Linked DNA regions of Saccharomyces cerevisiae S288C. The gene in region 1 interacts genetically with each later gene. Each region holds a gene or a part of one and is shown on either strand. Other genes may lie near its edges.

What was found. A genetic interaction does not mean that the proteins touch.
Region 2: mutations in PFK2 (region 1) and ATP5 together harm fitness more than expected from each alone (negative genetic interaction), as found in Saccharomyces cerevisiae (2 studies listed by BioGRID).

Annotation. Positions count from the first base shown.
Region 1 is NC_001145.3:671,132-676,556, forward strand, and holds PFK2 (6-phosphofructokinase subunit beta), read right to left. Parts: upstream 3,636-5,425; coding exon 756-3,635; downstream 1-755. Other genes in the region: INP1 (Inp1p), read right to left, coding at 1-194; YMR206W (uncharacterized protein), read left to right, coding at 4,765-5,425. UniProt on the Saccharomyces cerevisiae protein: Catalyzes the phosphorylation of D-fructose 6-phosphate to fructose 1,6-bisphosphate by ATP, the first committing step of glycolysis.
Region 2 is NC_001136.10:1,057,676-1,060,741, forward strand, and holds ATP5 (F1F0 ATP synthase subunit 5), read right to left. Parts: upstream 1,140-3,066; coding exon 501-1,139; downstream 1-500. Other genes in the region: rRNA-processing protein BFR2, read left to right, coding at 1,952-3,066. UniProt on the Saccharomyces cerevisiae protein: Mitochondrial membrane ATP synthase (F(1)F(0) ATP synthase or Complex V) produces ATP from ADP in the presence of a proton gradient across the membrane which is generated by electron transport complexes of the respiratory chain.

The DNA of each region.
Region 1 (5,425 bases):
GACGTGCCATTTTTTTTGGCTTTAACAGATTTATTTGTATCGTTTGAGTGTTGGGTCGAATCCTGTTTCAACTTTTTATTGTTGCTAAGTTTAAGTGACTGTTTTAAAGTTTGAAACGTAGATTGAGGTTTCTTTTCTTGTTTTGCCGTTAATCTCACGCTATTTTTCTTTGTTTCTCCCCTTGATAAAACCATACCACTTTGTTTAATTTCCTGAGAGTTATCAGACGAAAAATGTAGACCTTGTATCCTTCATAGGTGAAGGAATACTTCCTCCGTAATAAGGTAATTTAAAGTTCATAGTTCATTCACTCTTTTTGTTTACATCTCCGTTCTTCGTGATAAGTTCATAGATAATAAGAGAACAAAGTATTTAACGCACATGTATAAATATTGTATTAAAAGGGTACCTTTATAAATATGAGATCCGAGGGACGTTTATTGGAATTATCTTTTAAATCGTCTATATCACATATTCCAGTATACATAAGTTTTAATTTTAGAAAACGTTTAAATAAACAAAGAGAAAAAAAATAAGACACAAAAAATAACAGTATCTTTATTCTTGACATTCATAAAAATGCATGATAATATTGGTTTCATGGGGTAGTACTTGTATTATTAAAAGAAAGGAACAAAAAATTCATTGTTCAAAAGCTTAGAGATAAAAAAAAAGAATTATAGACACAAAAGAAAAACATGGGTTAACATTAATTGACATTAATAATAGAAAGTGTAATAAAAGGTCATTTTCTTTTAATCAACTCTCTTTCTTCCAACCAAATGGTCAGCAATGAGTCTGGTAGCTTGCCAGTGAATGACCTTTGGCATTCTCATGGAAACTTCAGTTTCATAGTCATACAATTGTCTAATGGAGTTGTAAACGACATGTGAACCCTTAACACCAACGACAGCAGCAGTGTCAGAAATGGTCTTGTCATCAGCGTTGAAGTTTTCTTCGGCAGCACGAGCTTCAGCAATGGCAGCTTGGTTGTCTTTGATGAAGCCGACAGCTTTAATGGCCATTCTAGTGGCTCTTGTTCTATCAATTGGAGATGGCAAACCACCTTGTTGTACATGACCTGGATAAGCTGGCTTAGCGTCAAATCTGCCATCGGCTTCAGCAGTAATAACTTCAGCCAATTTAGTGGCTGATAAAGCCTTAGAAGCGTTTGTACTCTTCAAAATCAATTTACCAAATCTACCTCTACCTTCTGCCTTTTCAAAAGATTGAGCTAAGTATTCAATATCCTCGGACAATTGCTCCAAAGAAATACCTTCTTCTGGGACATAAGAGACTTGAGCACCAACAGCCAAAGAAGCGTAAGTGGCCAAATAGCCTGAGTTACCACCTTGACAATCGACAACGAAGGCTCTACCTCTGGTTGAAGAAGCGGATTGTTTAACAACATCACAGTATTCCATTAGAGCATTCAAAGCGGTATCAGAACCCAAAGAGTATTCAGTACCTGGAACATTGTTAGACAAAGTAGCTGGTATCAAGACCATTGGGATTCTGAAAGCTGGATAACTTTCTCTTGCTCTCTCTAATTGATGTAAAGATTCAAAAGCTTCGAAACCACCAACGATGATCAAACCATCAAATTCGTACTTTTGGAAATAGTAAGCAATCATACCTAGATCTGCTTCTTCTGGAGTGACTCTGTTAGTACCGATTTCAGAACCACCACGGGATTGCCAACCCAACATATCCTTCCAGTTCAAAGAACGAACACTTTCATGTCTTGCCAAACCAGACCAACCATTGTAGATAGCGTATGGTCTGTGACCTTGGGACATACAGTAAGTAGCCATCGAGTAGACGGCAGAGTTGATACCACCAGCTGGAGCACCGACATTAACAATGGCAATCTTCAGTCTCTTGTCCTTTGGTAGCTTTGGTTCGTTGTGGTCAGCAGAGTTGATAGCCATGAAATTGTTTAAATGTTCAATGAACTCAGTGTCTCTTAAAGACATAGCTCTCTTGAAATCCTTAGCTTGAATGGCTTCTGCAACTGCTTTGGTCAACTTGACGGATTCCATTAATGGTTTACGAACAATTTTGTTTTCGTTAACAGCAATCAATGGTGATGGGGTGTCTGGAGTGGATTCCAAAACGGCATTAACGGCCTCAAGACCTTGTAAAGTAGCCAAGATACGGTCGTAAGCAACAGCAGTACCACCTCTTTGAACGTGACCTAAGGTAGTAATTCTTGTATCCAAACCTAATCTGTCAACTAGAACTTTGTGGACGTCGCTTGGAGAAATTGGGGTCAAGTCAGCAGCGATAGCACCTTCTGCAACAACAACAATGGTGGTTCTCTTACCCCTTGATCTGTGCTTGGAGACAATGTCACACATTTGATCTTGCCATTCGCTGGAAGTGGCTGGCTTCTCTGGAATAAAGATATAGTCAGCGGAAGTGGCGATACCAGCTAATAAAGCTAACCAACCACAGTTTCTACCCATAACTTCAACAACGAAAGCTCTTGAGTGAGAGTTGGCAGTGGCTTCAACGTAATCGATGGCCTTACAGATTCTGTCCAAGGCAGAGTAAGCACCAATAGTAGCATCCGTGGTGGACATATCGTTATCAATAGAACCGACAGTACCGCAAATATTCAAATGCTTCATTCTTTCGTATTGTTCGTTGGAAATTCTGTTTGTTTTCAACAATTCCTCGATCAAAGAAGGCCATTCTGATCTAAACAGATCAGCACCAGTCAAAGAACCGTCACCACCACAAACGATCAAAGCATCGACACCGGCCTCAATCAAATGTTGGGCACCCAATAATCTACCTTCGCGCTTCTTGAATTCCATACAACGGGCAGTACCAATGTTGGTACCACCTTCAGCAGACCAACCACGGACGTCTTCCCAGTGGAATTCCTTGATGTATTCTGGACCACCACGAACCAAACCTTCATAACCTTCCATGACAACAAAGGCACGACAACCTTTGAAGATAGCGGAACGCACGATGGCTCTAACGTTAGAGTTCATACCTGGAGCATCACCACCGGAAGTCATGACGGCAATTGCCTTTTGAGGCCTGTTCAATGGCTTTGGCAGAGATGGATAGGTGTCGGTGGTTTTCATACGGTAAGCCAAATCAGTGTAAGAGTGAACTTTAGAGGAAAGACCAGACTCAGCAGAAGCTTCTGGTGCTGGTGGTGGAGTTGGCTTGGTTGAAACTGCGTTCTTAGTAGAAGTAACACCAACAACGTTACCTAATGGGTCCAAAGTGTACAACTGCATTGGAAATAGTTCTGTTGGGTAGCCTTGAAGAGGAGCGTTCATAGCATTTAGAGTGTCCTTGACTGCCAAGATGTCGGAAGTGTTAAATACCAAGGATTGGGTGGCATGTGATCTCCAGTCTTGAGTCTTGGTAATACTGTTCAATTCCTTCAAATGAGCCTCAACATTTTTATTGATTTTTTCATCAGGACGTAGAAGGATCTTCAAAGAGATGGAATCGTTAGACAATAAAGTGGAGTTTTCATCTGGAGAAGAGCGGTTTTCTAATGACAAAAACTTGGTGTAAAAATCTATGGCAGCTTTATAAGATTGAACGGAATATGCAGTGACGGTACAATAAGAAGTACCATTCACAAAAGGAGTAGTAACAGTCATTGCGTATGGTTAGTTCTTGGCCAATGCTAAACTAGTCTCTAAATCTAGTTCTATTGTTCAAATGAGGTATAAGAAAGGCTTTTAAGCAAGAAGAAGGAAAAAAAAAAAAAAAAAGGAATTTTCTTCTTTATGAAACCGAAGATAAGAAGCTTTTAATCAAGGAAGTAATAAATAAAGGACAAAAAGAAGAAAAAAATATTATTGTTTTATAAAATGCAAGTAGGAAAAATAAGAATGAGAGCGGATAAAAAAAAGGCAGGAAAAAAAACAACAACATGAAGCGAGAGACTTCATTGCGATGTAATAAATGAATGGTAGATAAAGACCGGATGGAAAAAAAGGCCGATTTAACATGGCAAACAAAAGATTACATACGTACTGATCAAATTGATCAATTCAATATCTCTGTTTTCGTTTTTAACATTCAACTACCGTCATAGCGTTATACGTAGGAAAAAAAAACCGCAATCACGTAACCGTGGCTTCCACTAATCGGCTCTTGTGCCGTCAGATTCCGGATGTACGGGTGGACGCCATTTGGAACGAAAAAAAGAAATTGAAAAAAGTGGAAGCTAGAAATCACTGTCTTACCCTGGACGGTATCGTATATAATGACTCCGGTTTTTTTTTCTCTACCCCCTTGCCTCTTACCCCGGATTTTACCCAACTTTATCTTAATCTTCGTTTTCCTTTTAGCGTGGAGATGGTAAACGCTAGCGGTAACGTTAACGTTGCAAAGGGGGTATGCGGGACTGGCTGAAACGGGCGATGATACGATGCAACAAAGCAGCAGAGAATGGCTATGAATAGTCTTTACACCCACAGTTTTTCGTGTGGCAGTTACTATATATTAGTAGGATATTCGATCTATATAGATGGTAGTACTTACAATGCTGTTCTTGGGTTTTTGCGGATCTTCTTTCTTTTTTGTAGTTTTATTTTATGTCTTACTTCTTATTTCCTTCTTACTTCCTCATTGGTTAAGGCTCACGTTGATTGCAATAACAAAGAAGTATATACTGTAGCATAGCTCTTCATATCATTTTTGCCGTGCATTCGAAGACTATATATATATATGCATATTGTCTGACCTTTCGCCTTAAAGTAAAGAAGACAACAGAATATAACCATGCTGAGTAGCAGTAGCAATAGACCCATATCTGCCCATCTAACCATCCATTACAAGGCTATTCAGGAGGAAGAGGGGGAGGATATGAGAAGCGGTGCCGGAAGTGGTGGCCATCATGACGACTATTTTCTGGAGAGTAACAGATCTCCCACTCCTAATAAGAAACATGAGTTCATTAAAACGGTGCTCAATATCAACGATAACGACTCTGAATTTTCGGAATCGTGCTCACCAAGAGAGAAGTTACATAACGAGGGGGCTTGTAATACAGACCTGTTCGGGGACTTCATGTCTAAAAGACAACAGAGGCTGTCTAATTCTATGAACATTTACGACCTTTATCAGTGTGTACATAACCTGTCGCCTAGCAACAACAACCATCAGTTCATAGCAAGAAGGTTCAGCGATTCTCATATTCCCTCCTTGCATCACCGCCAGCAGCAACAGAAGGTAACAACAAAAAACTTTGTACAGCCCACGAAGGACATTCAAAGGATCGCCTCGTACGCTGCGGATTCAGACCAGAGAGTCAAGTATTTACCAAACTATCATCAGTCTGCTCCTTCTACTGCACTGTCTGCGGCTGAATCGAAAGCGGCTGTACCAAGAAAGCTCCCTGACAGAGACAGTACACAAAATTACGTACTAAAATTGCAACTCT
Region 2 (3,066 bases), on another chromosome or scaffold:
ATTTATATACATCAAGACATATTATTAAGTGTATAGGCGTGACTTTGACTATATATTTGATTTGTAACGAAAGAATACATCAAAATTCAACTATGAAATGGTTATTATTGTGCATGCACATCTTGAATTATCAAAAAGGTCTTAAATGTTCTTCGGACTTTCTTGAAATCTTCGAAAACTGATGAGAATTCTTCATTATTTTTTTTTTTCTTCTTTTATTATTTTTTATGTTTATTCCATATATACACTTATAATTTTTTTTTTTGCGATTAATATAAGTTTGCCTGGATACACGAACATATATATGATTAAAATGGTTGTCTCGAACAAAAAAATTCACTTTTTAGAGGGGTTTCTTATTTATTCGTATATGTACGTAATTTTGATGTTTAGGAAAAATTCACGGAAAAGAATATATATTTGAACAGAATCAAAAATTAGGAGGGAGGCAAAGAAAGTAACATCAAACGAGTTGAGCATATCCAACTATATTATTAACGTTAAATGCTGTCCTCTAAGACCTTATTCAGTTTTTGAATCTTTGTAGAAATGCTTAAGTCAACAGTCTTGTCACCAAGTTCTACAATCAAACCACCCTTAATCTCTGGCTTAACCACGTTTTCCAGCTTCAAAGATTTACCTTGCCCCACCAATTTGGAGGCGCTCAAAGCTTTTTCAATCCTCTTGAAAGATTTAGGATCCAATGGTTCAGCACTAGTCACTGTACCTTTAAGTAACCCGTTGTGAGCATCGTTTAAAACGCCAAAGTCAGACGCAATTTTTTCAAAACATCCCAGTCTGTTATTTTCGGAAAGAACCTTCAATAGGTTAACGACATAACCATCCAAATTCTTGTGAGTCTCCACGATGGCATCAATGACAGAATTTCTGTCCTTCAATGACAATGCAGGATTCAGTAATAAGTGACCTAATTTTGGATTCTTTTTGACTGTGCTTTCAACTTTTTGCAAAGATTGAAAGGCAGCATCAATAGAGGAGTTCTTTGCAGCGGCCTGATATAAAGCTGTTGCGTAAGTGCCCTCAACACCGAACAATCTCACCGGTGGGGGAGCAGCAGCTTTGGAAGCAGCAGCTCTTAAGCTTGATGCAAATGACCTGGTAAAGACTCTATTAAACATGATTGTCCACGGTTTAAAAATAATGCGGTAACTTGCTAATCGGTTCTTACTCTGCGGAAAAATATCTCAATGCCACAGTAGCCTGCTTAAATTTCCAAGTTGACTGAATTTTGTTTTCAATGAGATAAAAACTAGAAATACTGTACACAAAGTTAACAATTGGCGTTTGAAATTGTTCCTAGATAATTGAAAGTTTTACTATCTCGCCAAAAGATCACTTCATTATCTTTAATTCCTTGTTTTTCCCACCCGGGCCCGGGTAAATGATATTTCAAATATCAGCATCTTATTGGCCAGCACCGTCTCTCGAAAGTGTCCACTTTATGACGACGGCATAAAATATAACGATTTATTGGACGTAAGTAGTTTTATAAGTTACTAAACCAAGATTATTCCGGCAAAAAAATGAACTTTAAGAGATATCTGAGCGCTTCGTATTTCTTGGTAGTCCCTTATAATGTACTACATTTATGTAGACCAGGTTTGCAGCCAGATCTTACGGGAAAGAGATTTTACGGCTCCCAGTCCGAGCTTTTCCATATACTACTCTAATATACAATGCATTCTTAGATTTCTTAACTGCTGCATATGCTGTCTTTGGTCCTTTGCAAGCCTATTACTGCGGATTTAAGTTTTTTCCACTGATCGTTACCCGAATTTATGGGTTCTGAAAAATTAGAAGATGGAAAATTTTTCAATACGCGATGAGATGAGATAATTGTATATATGTAGTCGCATCTTGATAGGTATGCAGCGTACCATACATTGAGTAACAATAAGCACTGTTACCAATAAATATAGAGCAAAAAAAGATGGAAAAATCACTAGCGGATCAAATTTCCGATATCGCCATTAAACCGGTCAATAAAGACTTCGATATTGAAGATGAGGAAAATGCATCTTTATTTCAACACAATGAAAAAAATGGAGAAAGTGATTTAAGCGACTATGGAAATAGCAACACAGAAGAAACCAAGAAGGCGCACTATTTGGAGGTGGAAAAGTCTAAGTTAAGAGCAGAAAAAGGTTTAGAACTAAACGATCCAAAATATACAGGTGTTAAAGGTTCAAGACAAGCATTATATGAAGAAGTTTCCGAGAATGAGGACGAAGAAGAAGAAGAAGAAGAGGAAGAAGAAAAAGAGGAAGATGCTCTTTCATTCAGGACAGATTCTGAAGATGAAGAAGTAGAGATTGATGAAGAAGAATCAGACGCGGACGGCGGTGAAACGGAGGAGGCTCAACAGAAAAGGCATGCACTATCGAAACTAATTCAACAAGAGACTAAACAAGCTATTAACAAACTGTCTCAATCAGTTCAAAGAGATGCTTCGAAGGGTTATTCCATTTTACAACAGACAAAATTATTTGACAACATCATTGATTTGAGAATAAAACTACAAAAAGCTGTAATTGCAGCAAATAAGCTCCCATTAACTACAGAGTCCTGGGAAGAGGCTAAAATGGATGATTCAGAGGAAACAAAGCGTTTGCTGAAGGAAAACGAAAAACTGTTCAATAATTTATTCAATCGGTTGATAAATTTCAGAATAAAATTCCAACTTGGCGATCATATCACTCAAAATGAAGAGGTGGCGAAGCATAAATTGTCCAAAAAAAGATCTCTCAAAGAGCTTTACCAAGAAACTAATAGCTTAGACTCAGAACTAAAAGAGTACAGGACTGCCGTATTAAACAAGTGGTCTACCAAAGTTTCTTCTGCATCAGGTAACGCTGCTTTATCATCTAACAAATTCAAAGCTATCAACTTACCTGCAGATGTACAAGTCGAAAACCAATTATCCGATATGTCCCGTTTGATGAAAAGAACAAAGTTGAACAGGAGAAACATAACGCCTTTGTATTTCCAAAAAGACTGTGCTAATGGCAGGCTACCAGAATTGATTTCTCCCGTTGTCAAAGATAG